3 linked regions of the Drosophila melanogaster genome follow. The protein of the gene in region 3 binds, or shares a complex with, the protein of the main gene of each other region. Each region holds a gene or a part of one and is shown on either strand. Other genes may lie near its edges.

Region 1 (7,412 bases), 4.0 Mb from region 3:
AGCATGTATTTAATATAGTTTTTCTATACTGAAATGCAAATTATACGTGTTAATTTCCCTTTTTTTTTATGCTTTTTATTATACCCAACACAACAATTTTTTAATTGTAATAAAGAAGAGTAAGGAAATTTTCATTTATCAGAGAAATGACCAAAATTTAAACTGTGAAACATAATTTTTAGTTTAAGCCTAAATCCATTATTGTGGCCAAGCAACACGGACTTGCTCACTCTTTTAGCATCCACTCCATCCAGGAGGACGACTGGGCGGCTCCTGGCATGGCTTCCACTCCCAGGCGGTCCATGGCACACAGGCGTTGAGGTCCTGATCGAATCCGGTGTTGGGCTGGCACTTATGAAGGTGCGCCTGCGAGTTGATGGCGCTGCAGAGCCAGTACTTGGTGGGGTCCAAACAATAACGCTGGGGGATTTGCAGCTCCGCCGGGTGGAGGCATCCCGGCTCAGTGGAGTCGTTGCACATCGAGCGGATTCCGGACGGAAGCAGGAGCAGCACAAGGCAGCATGCCAGTGACCAGGAAAAAGCTAATCGGATATAATCAGCTTTAGTCCTTCGAATTGCGACGAATAGCGAGGGCATATACTCACCTTGCGGATGCATGGTTTTAGTGAAAGTGGTTAATTTTCCTGCTGTTGCAGATGGTTTTTATACAAGCAGTCCGGCCCCTCAAGTGGCCATTCTTATCAATCGCTCTTGATTGATTCGAGTTCGATGCGCTGCTCGAGGTCGTCGCTTGTTTGCCCATCCCACTTGGTCGGACTAAGCTGATGGGGGGGGGGGGGGGTGGAATTCCTAGGGTGACAATGCCAAGACAAAAGACATGTGTCCCAAACGAGATTTAGCTGGGAACTTCAATGCAATTGGCAGTGCAAAGTAACGAGAAAATGGGAGCAAGTAAAAGGCGGAAGGGCAGCAAAACAGCAGCTTCATTCTTCTTCTTCTTCACTGGCCAATTTCGCAGGACATGCCAAATGCATTTCCGGCTAACACCACACACACACTACCAGTGGCTGGAATAACGCAAGTCACTGTCATTGGTTTCTGTCGAATGTTGTTTATTTTGTTGGTTGTCCATTGATAAACCAAAAAAAATGAATACTGGAAAAGTTCAAAAAGGAAAAAGGAATCATAAAATGGACTTACAAAATAACCAAAGTTAGGTTATATAACTAAAAACTTTAACATTAAAGTTAGAACTTTATTATTTTCATATTTTTCATAAAAAAAAATGGAATTTATGAATATCATGAAATTCAAATTACGCGCCAAGCGTTTTAATGCTGCCCATTATTAAAAATATTGGCATCATTGATTGCAAACTATTTTGGACAGTCTGGCTGCCTTCACTGGAAATATTTTGTTTCAATGATAATGCTCGTAAATATTTTATACATAAGATGCTAAATCTTTAAGTGCACTTGTCTTAAGAAAGTAATAACAAAAGCAATTTATATATTTCGGCCTTAAATCGTTAAGAGTGACCAGTCTTTGGAGCGTTGTAAATCCAGCTCTTCGAACATCGAACAGTATCGACGGAAAGTATCGACGTTTTCTCACATCGCTAAGCCCAATCAGAAATTAGAAATAAATTAAGTAATTTGTGCGGAATAAAAGCAAGCGTGCGGCCGATGCGATAACCGCGATCCCCGTCACCCTTACCCCGCCGCCACCACGCCGTGATGCAGGCAACCAGCGCAGTGGCCGGAAAACTCGGAAAACTTGGCGAACGCAGCTGCAACGGCAGAAACAACAACAGTGCAAGCACAGCCCCACGAAACTCGGTGTAGTGAAGGAATTAAATCTAATTATAAGAAGAAAACAAGTGAAGGGCAAGCCCAACCCCGCGGCGCTTAATTAGCGGCGACAGCCAGCGATTTTCGTGGCTGGGTAGGAGCAACTGCAGCGCCCGCAGAGCCACCACTAGCACCACTGGCACCTGGCATTCACATGGGCTGAGTGCCGAGTGGATCGGTGGATCGGCGAAGGCGCAGCAGCAGCAGAGGAGCAGAAGCGGGAGCCGCACCAGCGATGGCCAACCAACTGGACGCCAGTGTGAAGGACGACCTGAAGACGCAGTTCGTCACCCGCGAGGGCACCTACCGCCTGCTGACCCTCTCGGAATACTCGCGGCCCAACCGGGTGGGCTACAGCAGCAACCAGAGCTCGCCGCAGGTGCGCGTCTCCATGGTGACCCTGCCCAGTCCGGCGCAGGGCAAGCTCGGCTCGGATGTGGGCGTGGGCACACCTGTGGGCGGCGGAACAGCAGGAGCCAACACCACCACAACGAATGGCAGCTCGCCGGGAGCGTCGCCTACGGGAGCAGCCGGAGCCAGCACAGCAATATCGAATGGAGGCGCTGGCGGTGACTATAGCCACAGCAACCACAACAGCAACAGTGCCGGAAACAACACTGTGGAGGCGCGTCTGGGCGGCGGCATATCCATGCACTCCATGATGAACGGCGGCGTCGTCGACCAGAATGGCGTGGCCACCAATCAGGTCCTAGGAGGCGATCGCATATGCTTCAACTTCGGACGAGATCTCTACGTTTACTCCTTTCGCGGAGCCAAGAAGGTAAACATTGTCGGCCAGAGATAGTCTCCATGCGCAAGCACGTGCGATGGAGGAGAAATGGTGCAGGTGGCGGTGCAGCGAGCTTATCACACCAGAGATAGAATAGAGGCTGCCGGCAATTGCATTCCAGGCGGATTGCACCAGCCAATTGGCGAGGGCCTAAAATACCTTGCCATTTGCATGCAGTGTCCCCCCAGTGTGCTTAATTTGCTCCACTTCGAGCGCTTGATGATCAATTCGCTTGTTTGGCGTTTTTATGAATGTTTATTGCGCTCGAAGGCAGTCGGTTGTGAGCGGTTTCAGCTCATCCCTGCGCGCGGATTACCCTAACTTTTGTTTGCACCTGCTGTAGTCAACGAACATTCCGATAGAGTAATCCTGGTGCGGCTTTCGACCATCCGAATTGCTCATCGCGTCGCTTGTGTTTGCCCTGTTTCCCCTGCCCAGCAGCTGTTTCTAATTCTTTGGCATTCTGTGCGGCAACAGCTTGCGATTCTCCTTATGTATTTGCTTTAGCTGGCTTCTTTGTTGCCATAGTTATCTGCTGGCGAGAACTTGGCAAGGCTTGCATAGAGCTTTTCCCACCTGATTCCGCCAACAAGCTGTTAATTTCCACTCCGCTTTCCGAATGTGTTAATTTCCAATCTTATTTCAACCCACTGAACGTATTCTTCCATTCCAAACTTGGCTCAAACGAAATTATTTGAGCCTGTTCCGCTTTGCCATTTGACTTTCACTGCATTCATATTCTTAATCTTGAAAATTATTCTATGATGATGACTTATATTTCAGTGATTTGTTTATACAAGCTCTCATCCAATAGCATCTTGTTGCACAAAGCATCGAGCTTATGATATCAATAGGGTGGACAGCTTATAAACATTTCCATCTTGGTCACAAGATATTATATAAACTTGGCTTCCATTCAGTGAACGTTTTATTTCAAAGAGTTTCTTGCCTCTTTAGGTTTACAATAGGAAAACGTAACGCAATTCAGAACGACTAAGATAAATATAAACAGATGATAGTGACTCTTGTTGACTTACTTTCAGGGCACGGAGATGAGCAAGCCGATCGATAAGAAGTTCTACAAGGGCACCAATCCCAGCTGCCACGACTTCAACATAAGCTCGGCCACGCCCACGGGAGCGCCCCTTCTGGTGGGCTTCACCACAGGTCAAATCCAGCTGGTCTCCCCGCACGTTGGTCCTCGGGAAGTGAGGAAGCTCTTCAACGAGGAGGTGAGTGTTCCACCTGAGATATATATATATATAGCCCTTCAAAGCAAACTGATTATTATGTGTGTTTTTCAGCGACTGATCGACAAGACCAAAGTGACCTGCCTAAAGTGGCTACCCAACTCACCGCACCTGTTCCTCGCCGCCCACGCCTCAGGTCACCTGTACCTGTACAACGAGGAACTACCCTGCGCCGCCACAGCGCCCAGCTATCAGCCCTTCAAGCTTGGCGACGGCTACACGATACTCACCAGCAAGTCCAAGACCACAAGGAACCCGCTCTTCAAGTGGGTCTTCAGCACCGACAACTGCTGCGTCAATGAGTTCTGCTTCTCGCCTTGCGGATCTCACTTGGCGGTGGTTTCCCAGGACGGTTTCCTGCGCGTCTTTCACTACGACACCATGGAGCTGCTCGGAATCGCACGCTCCTACTTTGGCGGCTTCCTCTGCGTGTGCTGGTCCCCTGACGGCAAGTACATTGTCGTGGGTGGCGAGGATGACCTGGTGACTGTGTGGTCGCTCCACGAGCGACGTGTAGTGGCTCGCGGACAGGGCCATCGGTCCTGGGTCTCTGTGGTAGCGTTTGACCCGTATACCACCTCGTACACAAACTGGGATGGCGGCGACTTCAGCGACGATGAGAATCAAATGAACGAGTACTCCCATTCGCGAGAGGCGCGCTTCTCCGGAGATTCCACGGCCAACGGTGGCTTCGAGGGTTTCGACCGAAACTCCACACCCGTTCACGCTGACCGCAACGGACCACACTCGGCCTCCTTTCGCTCGGACGCTTCTTCGGCCGAAAAGCTAATGAGTTATAGACTTGGCTCCGTCAGTCAGGATACCCAGATCTGCCTATGGGACATCACGGAGGACGTTCTACGCCACCCATTGGTGTTAAGGCAGCCCGCTAACAGTGAAAGGGCCTATCTCAACGGTGGTGTCGACGAAGAAGCGGAAGCAGAAGACGGCATAAAGGTAATCCGACCAGTGGCCATGTCTGGTCAAGCGACTGGACAGCAAGCGGAATCGGGCAGCTGTAGTCCAACACGGGAAGCAGCGGGCGGAGGCACAGGGAACGGTGCTGGCGAGCACAGCAATAGCAGTTCCAGCAAGTTCTCAACCGCCAACTGCACGATATCCTCGCAATCCTCGCCCGACGACTGCGACACCGAGGCAGCCACTCCCGCCTCAACTTCATCGAATGCGGGCGCAGGCTCGGTGGCTGGAGCGGGAGCGGTGGCCTCAACGAAGCAGAACAACCGCAACCATGGCACTGGCAACTCAATCAAATTCCCCAACTGCATCAGCGCCACCAAGTCAGACAGCATTGACGGAGGCGGCGGCAGCGGGAGTGGACAGAGGCCGTCGCAGACTACATCGGGATACAACAGCAAGACTTCCAACAGCTCGAACAAGTCCTCCAACTCGGGCAGCGGCTTCAGCGCCTTCAACAGCCTCACGCAGCGTCTCTCGAACTTCAGTTTCCTGAGCAGCTCGGAAAAGAAGGGCGCTGGCTATGAGGGAAGCCATTCCACCGCGCACCGTCAGCACCGCAAGGCAATGAGCATGCTGAAGAGCTACAACCAACACAACCACACTGGCGGACACAACAACCACAGCCAGAGTAACAACAGCAGCTCCTCCAACTTTGGCCACTCGAGCACTCTGGATTCGAATGCAGCCGGGGCCATTGGCAGCAGCTCGACGGCGCATAGTTTCGGATCACTGAAACTGAGCCGGTCCTCGCACCACTCCTCATTGGCCACAGCCGCCCATGCGTCGGGATCTGCAGCGGGCTCTGGCTCCGGTGTCAGCAGCTTCGATCCCATGCAGCTTATCGGAACTCCTGCCTGCCCCCGTTTCGATGAGTGCCCACTGCTGGAGCCGCTGGTCTGCAAGAAGATCGCCCACGAGCGGCTGACGGCGCTGATCTTTCGCGAGGACTGCTTCCTGACGGCGTGCCAGGATGGATTCATCTACACCTGGGCGCGGCCAGGTCATGCCACGGTGAGTGCGACACCTTGATTCTATAGACTCGAAGCGGGCAATATTTTTAATGATATACCCTTCTTTGACAGCACGCCACTCAGCACTTGTCACCTGGACAGGCGGCGGCGCCCGGCGGGACGGTAATTTAGTTCAATAAAGTGGACTTGGTCAACTATCAGCGTAATCTTGTCAAGCAGCAGGAGCAGGAGCAGCAACAGAAGCAGTCGGTGATCTAGGTTAAAGCTAGGCGATTGATTTCGGTAATTTATTGATAGGAGCAAGAGTTTTAAAGGTTTTATGTTGCGTATTTTGTATTCCAAATGTAGCCTAAATGAGTTTATGAACCACACACGACACACCGTACACCCGTAATATATATACATATATACATATATGTATATATACGATATATAGCTATGTAAAACATAACTACGATCTATATACGCAGCATCATCAGGCAACAGAACAAACGTATATGTTTAATCTAAATTATTAGTTGTAAATGTATTATTTTTTTAGTACGTGGAATTTGTTGAAAACAAAGCAAAGCATGTTTATAACTATTTACTAAGTGCTAGCCTACACTACACACGATAAATAAAGCAAAAGAACGAAGAAGTGAACTGCATTAGCGAACTAAAATAAACAGAATCAAATAGAGGAATGGAGTGGAAGGGAATGAGAAGTGGACGTCTTTACACATCGTGCTATGTACTGAGTTGCGGTCGAGGCCCCAAACTAACCAACGACGAACTATCTAACTATGTAAACTCACGAACTAACCTAAAGTAGGAACTGTTATCATTACTAATACTATGGATTCGTATGCCTTTTATTTTTTGATGCAAGCCGCCGAGTGCAACGTTTTAGCATGCAGACGACAACCGAACAAATTAGACTAAATGCAGACAGGAACCGGAAATCGGTGATCGGAAATTTGAAATCTGAAACCCGAACCAACACAGCAACAAACATTTCACACATATATTTTATAACGAGCCAGGAGAAACAACAGTCGGCACCTTGCGATGTTAGCCAATAAGTTAACAATGAGCCGAGCAAGCAAAACCAACCAAGAACACGTTACAGTAAAAAAAGACTAAAATTTCAATAAAATTATATAAAAAATTAGTTTTCATAGCTGGTATTTATTTATAAAATGTGTTTGTTTCTAACAAAAATATGCTTCTCTCGCTCGAGTCTCAAATGAGACAACCACAAACTTCATGCTGGAAAACACAATGCCTAGGCTCTGTGGAATCGTTCGACATGTGAGTGGCCACCCTGGCCACGATTAACTCAAGGAGTATGCAAATTAACCTATCAAGCCTGTGGGTTAGAAGGTCTTGGGCACCGTCAGCACCTCCGCCTCGGGCAGATACAGGTGCTTGGAGAGCAGGAAGGCGAACAGCGCCTGTCCCGCGACGATCATGAACAGGAAGTAGAGTTTGCGCTTTTTCCCGCCGCTGTAGTCAAATTGCTGTGGATTGCCATACGGATCGTAGTTGATGGCTCCACTGGGCGCAGCCGGGGAGTTGTCCTGCAGCAGTTTCGTCCGCAACGTGCGGAGCTACAATGAAGGTAAGATTA
Region 2 (5,617 bases), on a different chromosome or scaffold from region 3:
AGCGCGAAAATCATTTCCTTTTGAAGACAACCGTTGCAACGATTTTCAATGATTTTTTTTAGTATATATAATGGTATATATATATATATACATACTGATTTATTGATAGTTAAGTCCGACCATTGAGCGTTTGTAAAGTATGTATACAAGAATTAAAAATAAGTTTAAAGTGTATAATTCGCAATACAAAAAGAATATATTTACCATAAAGTAGTCGTCAATTCAAAGTCGCCAAGGCAATTTGTAGAATGTTTTAATCCGACAAGAATGTACATATTGGCGTTTCCGATTAGATGTTTTTATATAAACGAAGTAACCATTTATAAAGGTAACGCATATACCACACATACATAACATAAATTAAAACAATTCAATTGTTAAGCATTACTAGCAGTTAAGAGACGGCAATTAAAGGTACATTTAATTTAAAATAAACGCAAACATTTTCAATCTACACCCGGCATTATCCATCTCTTGACACAGCAAAACACACCGCTCAGTCGGGTTTATAGTATAATTTTATTCAAATATGCGGGAGATAATATTGCATTACGAGCTATGTACGGCCAAGACAGCAATTACAGTACGAACCCACTTTTGGGTTCGAATACCTCAGTCCTATATCGTATCGATCAGATCATCTAGTTCTTCTGCAGCTTATCCACGTCCTGAATGTAATCAGTGCCGACCTTCACGATGGCGGCGCCAGTTCCCAAGCCCGCCAGGGTCGCCAGCAGTGCATTGTCCTGTGGCAGGGCGGACTTGATGAGCGCCCAGGCCAGAACGGATCCCATGGAGAATAGGGTGGCGCCCAGCAGGGCGTACGCACCTCGCTTGTTGTTCTTCACGTCCTTCAGGTGGGGCCTGCCGTAAATGTAGAAGGCACTGCCCACCACCGCGGAGATGAGGAACACGTTCGTCAGGTCCTTCTTGGGCAGGATTTTGGGCACGATCTGGGGGTTCATAACATTCACCGCAAGGGCTCCGTAGCTCACCAGGCCGTGCAGCGGTATGTAGTAGTTGAACACATTATCCCGGGTGAAGGGCTTGAGGCCCACTTTGTCGCATATGCTGCAGGCGTCTTTTGACTGTGTCCCGGCCATTATTATCGGTGAAAATGCAATTAAGTTTTTGGATCCCGGTGAGGTCGACGAGTCTTCTTCTTCTTGTTATGTAAAGAATAGGGCTGCCAGGTCGCGATATATGTGAAAGTTATGTCGGTCTTCGCGGACACTCTGCAGATGGTATATCACTGGTTCTAGGTAGATATGTGTATAAAGATGTAAATGTTTTGACCAATATAATATGTCAATGTCTGAGAGATCCTAATATATAAATGTACATATCTGACAGGGAGAGTACTTGTTATCAAGGGCTTTAACGCTTGGAGCGCTCATGTTAGTGGGCGTTTTGCGTATTTGCATAACATTAGCCCCGATATTTCCTGAATGTACAATTAAAAACAAATGTTATAGTTATTTTCTTGGCTGGTTTTTTAAAAATTTTCGAATTTTTAAGTTTAGTGGTTCCGGAACGAGTCACCTTTCTGAACAAGAAGTGTCAACTCTGTTGAACAGCCGGCACGGTGTGCACAACCAGGTGGCAACACCAGCCGGCGCAGGAGAATGAGTGGAGGAGTGCCTGAGAGGTGGGAGGACCGAATGGGGAGAGACAGAGAGCGAAATAGGTGCGAAAAATTTGTAGTTGCCTGGAAATTCCTCAATTTCAATTTGCAAAAAGTAAATATCAGCCGCCCCAAAGCAACGTCGATAAATGTGCGCGCCCCGCGAGCAGAGAACAACCAACGCCAGCTCCTGAAGCACTTCAGTCCAGAGATATCGCCGAGAGCCACAGTGCAGCAGATCCGTGGACGACATGTTGACGCACAAAACTTGTCAGGCACGTAAGAAAATGCAGGTGAGTGCGCCAATTGAAAACGGGAAGGAAAGCGGACACCTAAGCCCAAACTAATTCAATTAAACCGTCGGACGCCAGGTTTCCTTCGTGATACGGGACGCCGAGGAGAAACAGCACCGGAATGGCGTAAACGCTCTGCAGCTGGATGCCAATAACGGCAAGTTGTACTCCGCCGGTCGCGACGCCATAATCCGTGTGTGGAATACACGGACGGACTCCAGCGAGAAGTACATACAATCGATGGAGCACCACAACGACTGGGTCAACGACATAGTACTTTGCTGTAATGGCAGGAACCGTGAGTTGCTCCACCGATCAGTTTAGGCATTCATTCAAACATTCAATCTTTTGCACTCATAGTTATTAGCGCCAGCTGTGATACCACGGTGAAGGTGTGGAACGCCCAGAAAGGCTTCTGCATGTCCACCCTGCGGACCCATCGCGACTACGTGCAGGCGTTGGCCTACGCCAAGGATCGGGAACAGGTGGCCAGCGCTGGACTGGACAAGGCCATCTTCCTGTGGGACGTGAACACACTGACCGCGCTCACGGCGAGCAATAACACGGTTACCACCTCTAGTCTAACCGGGTCCAAGGACTCAATCTACAGCTTGGCCATGAATCCATCGGGCACCGTGATTGTGAGCGGGTCCACGGAGAATATACTGCGTATCTGGGATCCCCGCACCTGTATGCGCAGAATGAAGCTGCGAGGCCATACGGAGAACGTGCGCTGCTTGGTGGTGTCGCCCGATGGAAACCAGGTGGTGTCTGGCAGTTCCGACGGCACGATCAAGGTGTGGAACCTGGGCCAACAGCGCTGTGTTCAAACCATCCACGTGCACAAGGAGGGCGTGTGGTCGCTGCTGATGAGCGAGAACTTCCAGTACATCATCTCCGGCAGTCGGGATCGCAACATCATTGTGACCGAGATGCGGAACCCTAGTAACAAAACGCTTGTGTGCGAGGAGCAGGCGCCCGTGCTGAGTCTGGGCTACAACATCGACAAGACTGGGGTGTGGGCCACCACCTGGAACTCGGACATTCGCTGTTGGAAGCTGCCCATGTACGACAGGTGCACACTAAATTCCTCGGGCGGAATGGACGCACAATGGACACAGGGCGGCACTGAGGTGGCCTGCATAAAAGGTGGAGCCGCCATCAAGGAGTGCGCGGTGCTGAACGACAAACGTTATATCATAACCAAGGACTCACAAGATCAGGTCGTGGTGTACGATGTGCTGAGAGTTGTCAAAAAAGAGCAATTGGGCGCTGTTGATTTCGAAGCGGAGGTGAAGAAGCGTAATAAGCAGGTCTACATTCCAAACTGGTTCACTGTTGATCTGAAAACCGGGGTGAGTTAAGCTAAGCTCTATTGAAGCTTAAGTTCGTTTATACTTAATTATGCTTTGCAGATGCCAACGATTGTATTGGGTCAGGAGGAAGTGGATTGCTTTTCCGCTTGGGTTTCCATTGAAGCTGGACTGCCGGAGTGCGTCGATCCCACAACAGAGATTAAGGTTGATCGCTCATCAGACCCCTTCACATATTAAATGCCATTTAAAATGCTTTGTTTTTTTATAGATCAACTATGGCAAATTACTTTTAGAAGCCCTGCTAGAGTACTGGACACCACCGCATAGCATACCACCAAACGAAATGGAACCCGATATGCACGGCAATGGCTACTTCCAAGTGCCCAAGCACACGCCCGTCATCTTTAGGTTAGTGACTGTGATATAACCTTATCTGCACCATAACTAATTTCTCAAATTTCTGGCTAAATTAAACAGTGAAGTGGGTGGCCGCACTGTTTGCCGACTTTTGGTACGCGACGCAGCTGGCGATAGCGAAAGTACCCTGCTCCACGAAACGGCGCCTCAGTGGGTGACCGACGTGGTGATCGAGAAGAACATTCCCAAGTTCCTCAAAATACCGTTCTTCCTGCAGCCTCACCCGCAAATGACCAAGCCTGAACGAACGAAGAAGGTAGCCGTCCTTGACAGCAAACAAAACTCATGTTCTAACGCAATTTATATTAAATTTTTTAGGATCGTCTTGTGGCTAATGAATTTATTCAGTGTCGCAAGGTCTGCGAGCACGTGCTTGAAAAGGTGCTGAATGCGGAAACTACCCCAAGTGGGGGCAATGCTAACAATTCACTGCAGAATAGCCAGAGCGATGCTAATTCGGAGGGATCCCAACTGCCAGCTGAGGAACGAATTGAACTGTGGTGTAACGATGTGGTAAGACAAATGGACAAATCTCATTTAAAGGACCTTGTTCACCGCCTTTCCTTTAAAGGTTGTGGACCCCAACATGGACCTGCGCACGGTGCGCCACTTTATCTGGAAGCAGTCGACCGATCTAACGTTTCAGTACAAGACCAAACAGAATTTCAACTACGATGGTAAATAAGAGAGCCCACGCATTGAACAACACAAGAACACCTATCACAAACACAACGCATACTTGATTTCTGCAATTGCTATTGCCTAACCGAGAGTTGTGCTTATATATATCCGCCCCATAGGTTCGATCGGGGATAGCTTGGAGCGCGTGACGCGCAAGTATTGAACGCTGGCAAGTGATCTCCCGCCTAACCGAAGCAGTACCGATGCATTATTGAATGAGAACGAGATTGAGCAGATCGATTAACAATTTATATTTTTATAAGTTGATTTTGCAATATATTTGAGTTAACCTGCGATTCGTCTCATCTCTTCTCGACTCGACTCGTGGACAAACACAAACACATTCAAGGAGAATCTGTACGAGCGTTAACTTTAAATTTAAAAGTGCACCGGAGTACTTTTGTTTGTTCACTTCTCGTTAGGAATAAATATGTACTTCAGATTCAGACTTATAACAATTAGGCTTGCGACACACGTAGATAAGCATTGCAAAGGAGTAACTGCAGACATACCATTAAATCGTATTTGCATCTGAAGCAACTAGACCTAGAGTATTGCGCATATATGTATGTATGTAATATTCACACTTGTTTCACATTAGGTTTATACATAATTATTTACATAGAACATACATAGGTATAAGAAATCTGTTAAATATACAGAAAAATCAATGCAATGGTAGTAGCCCAACTTGTAAAGAGCTCTATGCAAGCCAATTTGTACATAAGTAATAAGCGAAAATCGAAAACCAGGATGGAAATCAATTAAAGTTATTAAATTATTTGGAAATCAAGCCTGTCTCTCAGTCCCTAAGATGATTACCCGCCCTCTTAACTAACAACTAGGAGTGTGCTCCTAACGCCGACGTCGCGTGCCCGCCACTCGGGAATAGGACTCGATGCAGGTCAGCAGGCTGAGCAGCTGTTGCTTCAGCGTCGAGGGTATGTGGTATCCGTGGATAATCCTCCGTGGCGCGTTGCTCGTCCGGATCAGCCAGCGGGCGACCAGCCAGAGGCAGTTTTCGCGCAGCGATCTCATCGGAAAGTGGATCAGCACTTCGCTGCGTACGTCAACCAGCTGATCCGGACTCTGCTGGCTCTTGGGTACCCGCACCCGAATCGGCTGAAAGATCCTCTGCGAGCGTACGTGCATCCGTTCGCCCGTGTAGTAATCCCGGAACAGCCAGCTGTGTGTGGTGAACGTGTTCACCCGCACCTCCTCGAAGGGCTTGAGGGTAAGGTACATGTTCTCCCGCTCCCGCTCGCACACCCAGTACAGATCCAGGG
Region 3 (4,836 bases):
TTAAACACAATAACATTTCATTTCGCTACAGCTCATCCTTTTTAGGCCCTATGTAAATAAGTTGATCCTCCGGCTTAACCTCGTATTGCAGCAGCTTCACATATCGCTTGAGCAGCTTGCGCCAATAGCACTTGATGTCCTTCATGCGCAAATGCTCCCAGATGAAGTCGTATCCACGCTGAGCGATCTCCTGGGCCAGCGCATCGTTTTTCTTGAAAAAGGACAAGATGTGCTCGTACTCCTGCTGACTGGGGTAGCTCTTGAGCGGCACATAGTGCACCCAGGGCTTTAGTTGGTCGTAGAAGAACTCCTGCCACTCGTCGCCCACATGGAAGACCAGCGACTTGCAGAGGAACAAGTGCTTCAGACGAAAACTGGCGGCCACACCGCGGAAATTGAACAAGTACTTGTACTTGCAGTGGTCCTCGAAGGACACCTCATCAGCAGCCGGTGCGTCCAGTGTATCCTTAGGCGACTTCCAGCCCTGATTTTTGGTGTATTGAGCCTCGACTAGCTCCGGATTGCGGCGCGAGAGCAGAATAAGAGAATCACGTTCGTCCGAGGTGCGTGAACCGCGAAAGAAGCCCAGACTGCGTTTCTGTGACCAGGGTATAGCTGCCGCTCGCTTCTCCAGCTTCTCGCGCATCTGATCCCAGCGTCCAATGCCACGAGGATGGAGCTTGGTGGCCGGTCCTCCGGCCCAGAATGTCCACGCTGGATACATGATGTCGCGGTACTCCTTTGTCTTGGAGAAGGAGAAGACGGGACCACCAGCCGCGTTACCCCACGCCGCATTCAGCTGCGGATAGTCCCTGGTATTGATGATCAAGTCCATGTCGGGCAGCGTAGCCACCAGCGGCAGCAGGAAGTGTTCAATGCCCTCACAGCGGGCTGGGAACATGCAGTTGGCATCCCGGTACAGGCGATGTCCGTAGATCTTGTATTTGGTGCCGTAACGCGCTGAACTCTCGATCATCTGCCGGGTGACACCTGTTGACTTGTAGGGCGCGAGATCCCGTTTCAGAACATTTGCGTGGCAGGAGCAGTCGCTGTCCTGGGGATCACTGCTGCACGGCTTGTAGTCGGCATTGGCTTTTTCGATCTGGCGACGTATCTTGAAGCTAACTAAATTAATTGATTAATTAATTAATCGAAGCCGGCAACAAGTTGCTTACATTCATCCTCGTTTATTTGGTCGGGTTCACTTTGTGCACAGGATTTTTGATCGGCACTGCAAAGTCCGTCATCTTCTGCACCTCCTGTTCCTACCAAACTAATTAATAATACGACTATTAAATGATTTATTAGCATTTCTTTGGATGTAAACAAATTTGTTGGCCTTTGATTGCGGCGTCAGCAATAGGGTTGCCAAGTCAACTGAAACTATCGATATTCCAGAAATGTTTTTAAGGACATAGTTTTTAAAGTAAAATGAATGTCTACAATTGATGTAGAAAATAAAAGACTTTCTGCCATTTAGCTGCAAATAACTTAAGAGGAGAAGTAGTTGTGTTTTTAATAACTTTTTGTTACCTGGCAGCCCAGGCAGCAAAGCAGTGATTGAACTGTTACTTTCTTAGGCAGACCATGTCACTGCATTTGCAGGCAAAGCCCTGCAGTAGTAACCATTATTTTGTATGACCATCCATGTGATGGTCACCCTATGCGAGTAACTGTTCGCCGAGTTTTACTTTTGACGCGGTGTGCACACACTGGCCGATCCAACCATTATAAGAAAACCAACAAGAAACGTCGAAAGTTTTCTCCGTGTTAAAGCCAGCCAATAGCCAAATTACAAACGAAAACGACGATTTGCAATTTGCAAATTATGCGTGCGGCACCTAGTGCAATCGAAACCACGTAAACCCAACGAACGCGAGTGTTTTAGACCACCTGCAACCTGAAACAACCACCATTGTACATAATTTACACGAACAATTTTGCAACGACAACAACAAAGGACGCCGCGCTGAAAGAGAGAAGTTGACATAACTGCAAAAAGTAAATTGTATTTAACAGTGGTGGGCAACTAAATAAAGCCCGGATTGTAATATTGGCAACGAAAAATCGTAGTGGGAGTGGCCCAATTGCGAAAACGATGTTGTTTTGTTGAGACAATTGCCAAAAAGCCACCAAAAGTTCAACTAAAAAAGGTAATACATATGTATTTTTATTTATTTGCAAGTGTATCTGCATCTGTATGTGTGCGCGCGCGTGAGTGTGTGTGTGGGCGTACTACGAATAACAGTTAATTGAGCACTCATCGATTTTTTAGCCCCTTTATTGTGGCTCCTAAAAAAGGCAACTTAAATTCATTTCACCTCACGATCCGATCGCCAGATAAAATACAAAAAATAGAAAAAAAATGGAAGAAAAAACTGTTGGAAAAGTTGCCAGCCATCGTCATTAAGTTGATTTGCTACCGCCGCCGATGCTGCGATTTAATTTACCTGGCATTTGGTTTGCTTTCGAGAGCTCCAGTTTCCCATTCCGCCGCATTCCACCTGGGCTTTTCGTTTCTCGACTTTGATTTTCGTTTCCCATCCAGCGGCCGATTTTCCTGCTCGCCGACAAAAAAAAATCGTATCGCTTTCGTTTTCACATTGGACGGCGCGATATACTGGCTTTTTGTTTTTGGTCCGCGACCTAGGGTCGCATTGCCCCGCCCCTCCCGCACCAGCCCGACCGTCCATCAAAGCACCTGACTAATTAGTGTTGAGTTATTAACTTGATAATTATCGCTAGCCACGAGCGAGGTGCACTACTGGAGTTCTGCAGTGCAGGCCTACTTCCGTAACTCTAAACATCTCTTTCATTTTCCTAAGATATATGTATGTATAAACCATTTTAATGGCTTACTTTAAATCTTATTGTACAACATGGATTAGAGTATGTTAGGAGTAATCTCCAACTTATTTAATGTACTCATTTCGTTGTAATAATGTAGTATGATATCTTAATCAGATTCAACATTGTTGTTGATGAAAGTTAGCGGAAGTTGAATTGTATCTGTGCCTTGCAGTGACTAAGAACTAACTTGGCTATCTTTGAGGTCTTTTCGTTAAACTCGTTTGGAACACCATATCGAAATACTGAAAACGTTAAATACAAAAAAAAAAAAAAAAGAAACAAACACAGTAATTCGAGCTTGGCGCTGACTAAAGCTTCGCTTTGTTTATGGAAATATATGTGGTCATAATCAAGCTTTTGGAACCGAAGTCACACGTAAATCTTTTCTGCGCATTCAGACGTATCGATGCGATTGGGAGCCCCTCGACTAGCGTTTCCAATCAATGGTTCTTGGGAGAAAAACTTCGAATCATTTGCATTTTCAGTGGCGTGGCGACCCTCGCCTTCTAATGACTCGATTGATTTCCATTTTGGGCAACCTTTCTCGTTTGTGTAATGCCGGAAGTCGTTTGTCGTAACTTCTTGTATTGATTATAGATAATAATCGAAGAATGCTTTCCGTAGAACGTCTGCCAAATGGTCGTTGGCCAGCTAAAACAGCTGCCATTAGCCGCAGTCACGCTGTCTGGCTTGGGTCATACATCATTTATGTACTCCACTCCTTTGGGCAGGCAAATGACTGAACCCCCGCCCACCACCGATAACCACCCATTTCCACCAACTCCCACTCCGAAGTTCACGTGAAATGTGGCATGCCTAACCCAACCAGATGATTCATCATAACGTGGCATAGGCAGTTTATGCAGATTCCCTACCTTCCTTCCCTGCCAGCCAAGTGGCTGTAACACATTTTCATTTATGCTCCGCTCTCGCACACAATTTCTCCACCCTCTCGCATTTTTCCGTAATTTCCTGACTGATGAGTGAGCCTGCGCATTGGAAAATCGCTTTTCCAGAGCGGTAACTCGCCTGCCGAGTGGTGTGTTGAATTTCTGTTAGCTTCAGGGCTGGGTTGCTATTTTGACATGCTCTTCGGAACTTCTGGATTCATTATTATAGTTTTATTTTTAATGAGATTTTAAGAGCTTATCAATTTTACTACAATTTCCACATATATTGCCCTCTAAGACACGCTTTTGTTTAGAAATTGTTGCCGTCTTGTTAATTCAATTCCACACACTTTCTTCTGCCGCAGACTGAGACTGAAAATATATCCATTTCGCTGCGCATCGCATGTCCAGCTGTGTCAGCTTCTTTCGAATTCTTTGATGTTTCGAAATTGCCTGTCCGTAGATAATTCAGTGCGATTATATTGCGTGCCTGCTGACTGACCGCTCGTACATCATTAGCTCATCGGTGGGGTTTTGTTAGCTAATGGCCATATACTGCAACTGCATTAATAACATAATGTTTGTGTCATTAACCTGCGAACGGAACGAGTTTCCTGCTCGCGCAGCTGGAAAATCGCTTGCCTTTCGGCGGTGGCGGCTCTAATCTGCATAGAATGCGGATCGTCTTGGAAATGTCAGCTTCTCCCCCTCGCAAGAAAACCAGTTAACCAACTAATAGTGGGCCAAATTGCGATTGGTAGTATTTCAGTAGGCTATTCGAACGCATGCGTGACCGCGTTCGACAGTTGGTTTTGTTTACATTTTGGGTTATTGATCGGCTGGCGCACGATTTGATTCTCCGTGCGCTTATCATCAGCACGCACACCATGGTGATACTACACATATATGTAGCTAATGCGGCGGATCTGGTCATGGGCTCTGTGTCATGGAGAAGCATTCGGCTGGCTATCAGCACGAGCATGCTGCTCCAGTTTTCCGCGTTAGTTGCGGCTCTCCGCCTCGCGCTGAATATCGCTCTCTGGAATGGCGGAATACCCTATCAGTGGGTTGATGTTGTTTGTTGTCCGGATTGGGA

What was found. The genes of interacting proteins can lie anywhere in the genome.
Region 1: Usp12-46 (region 3) and CG6420 share a complex: the UniProt entries of both Drosophila melanogaster proteins name them as parts of the usp12-46 deubiquitylase complex.
Region 2: Usp12-46 (region 3) and CG9062 share a complex: the UniProt entries of both Drosophila melanogaster proteins name them as parts of the usp12-46 deubiquitylase complex.

The regions. Positions count from the first base shown.
Region 1 is NT_033777.3:26,719,347-26,726,758, reverse strand, and holds CG6420 (uncharacterized protein), read left to right. Parts: upstream 1-1,542; 5' UTR 1,543-2,046; coding exon 2,047-2,592; intron 2,593-3,644; coding exon 3,645-3,833; intron 3,834-3,905; coding exon 3,906-5,840; intron 5,841-5,911; coding exon 5,912-5,971; 3' UTR 5,972-6,912; downstream 6,913-7,412. Other genes in the region: CG14244 (uncharacterized protein), read right to left, coding at 235-542, 606-618; Yif1 (Yip1-interacting factor 1), read right to left, coding at 7,159-7,392. UniProt on the Drosophila melanogaster protein: Regulatory component of the Usp12-46 deubiquitylase complex.
Region 2 is NT_033778.4:11,279,984-11,285,600, reverse strand, and holds CG9062 (uncharacterized protein), read left to right. Parts: upstream 1-1,629; 5' UTR 1,630-1,687; exon of another isoform or gene 1,688-1,750; 5' UTR 1,751-1,875; coding exon 1,876-1,917; intron 1,918-1,995; coding exon 1,996-2,215; intron 2,216-2,277; coding exon 2,278-3,272; intron 3,273-3,332; coding exon 3,333-3,437; intron 3,438-3,501; coding exon 3,502-3,641; intron 3,642-3,710; coding exon 3,711-3,906; intron 3,907-3,968; coding exon 3,969-4,163; intron 4,164-4,221; coding exon 4,222-4,327; coding exon of another isoform or gene 4,328-4,335; exon of another isoform or gene 4,336-4,450; coding exon 4,451-4,494; 3' UTR 4,495-5,117; downstream 5,118-5,617. Other genes in the region: CG13220 (uncharacterized protein), read right to left, coding at 642-1,103; Vhl (von Hippel-Lindau), read right to left, coding at 5,187-5,617. UniProt on the Drosophila melanogaster protein: Regulatory component of the Usp12-46 deubiquitylase complex. activates deubiquitination by increasing the catalytic turnover without increasing the affinity of deubiquitinating enzymes for the substrate.
Region 3 is NT_033777.3:22,749,214-22,754,049, forward strand, and holds the start of Usp12-46 (Ubiquitin-specific protease 12/46), read left to right. Parts: upstream 1-1,687; 5' UTR 1,688-2,153; intron 2,154-4,836. Other genes in the region: rumi, read right to left, coding at 26-1,125, 1,176-1,311. UniProt on the Drosophila melanogaster protein: Catalytic component of the Usp12-46 deubiquitylase complex.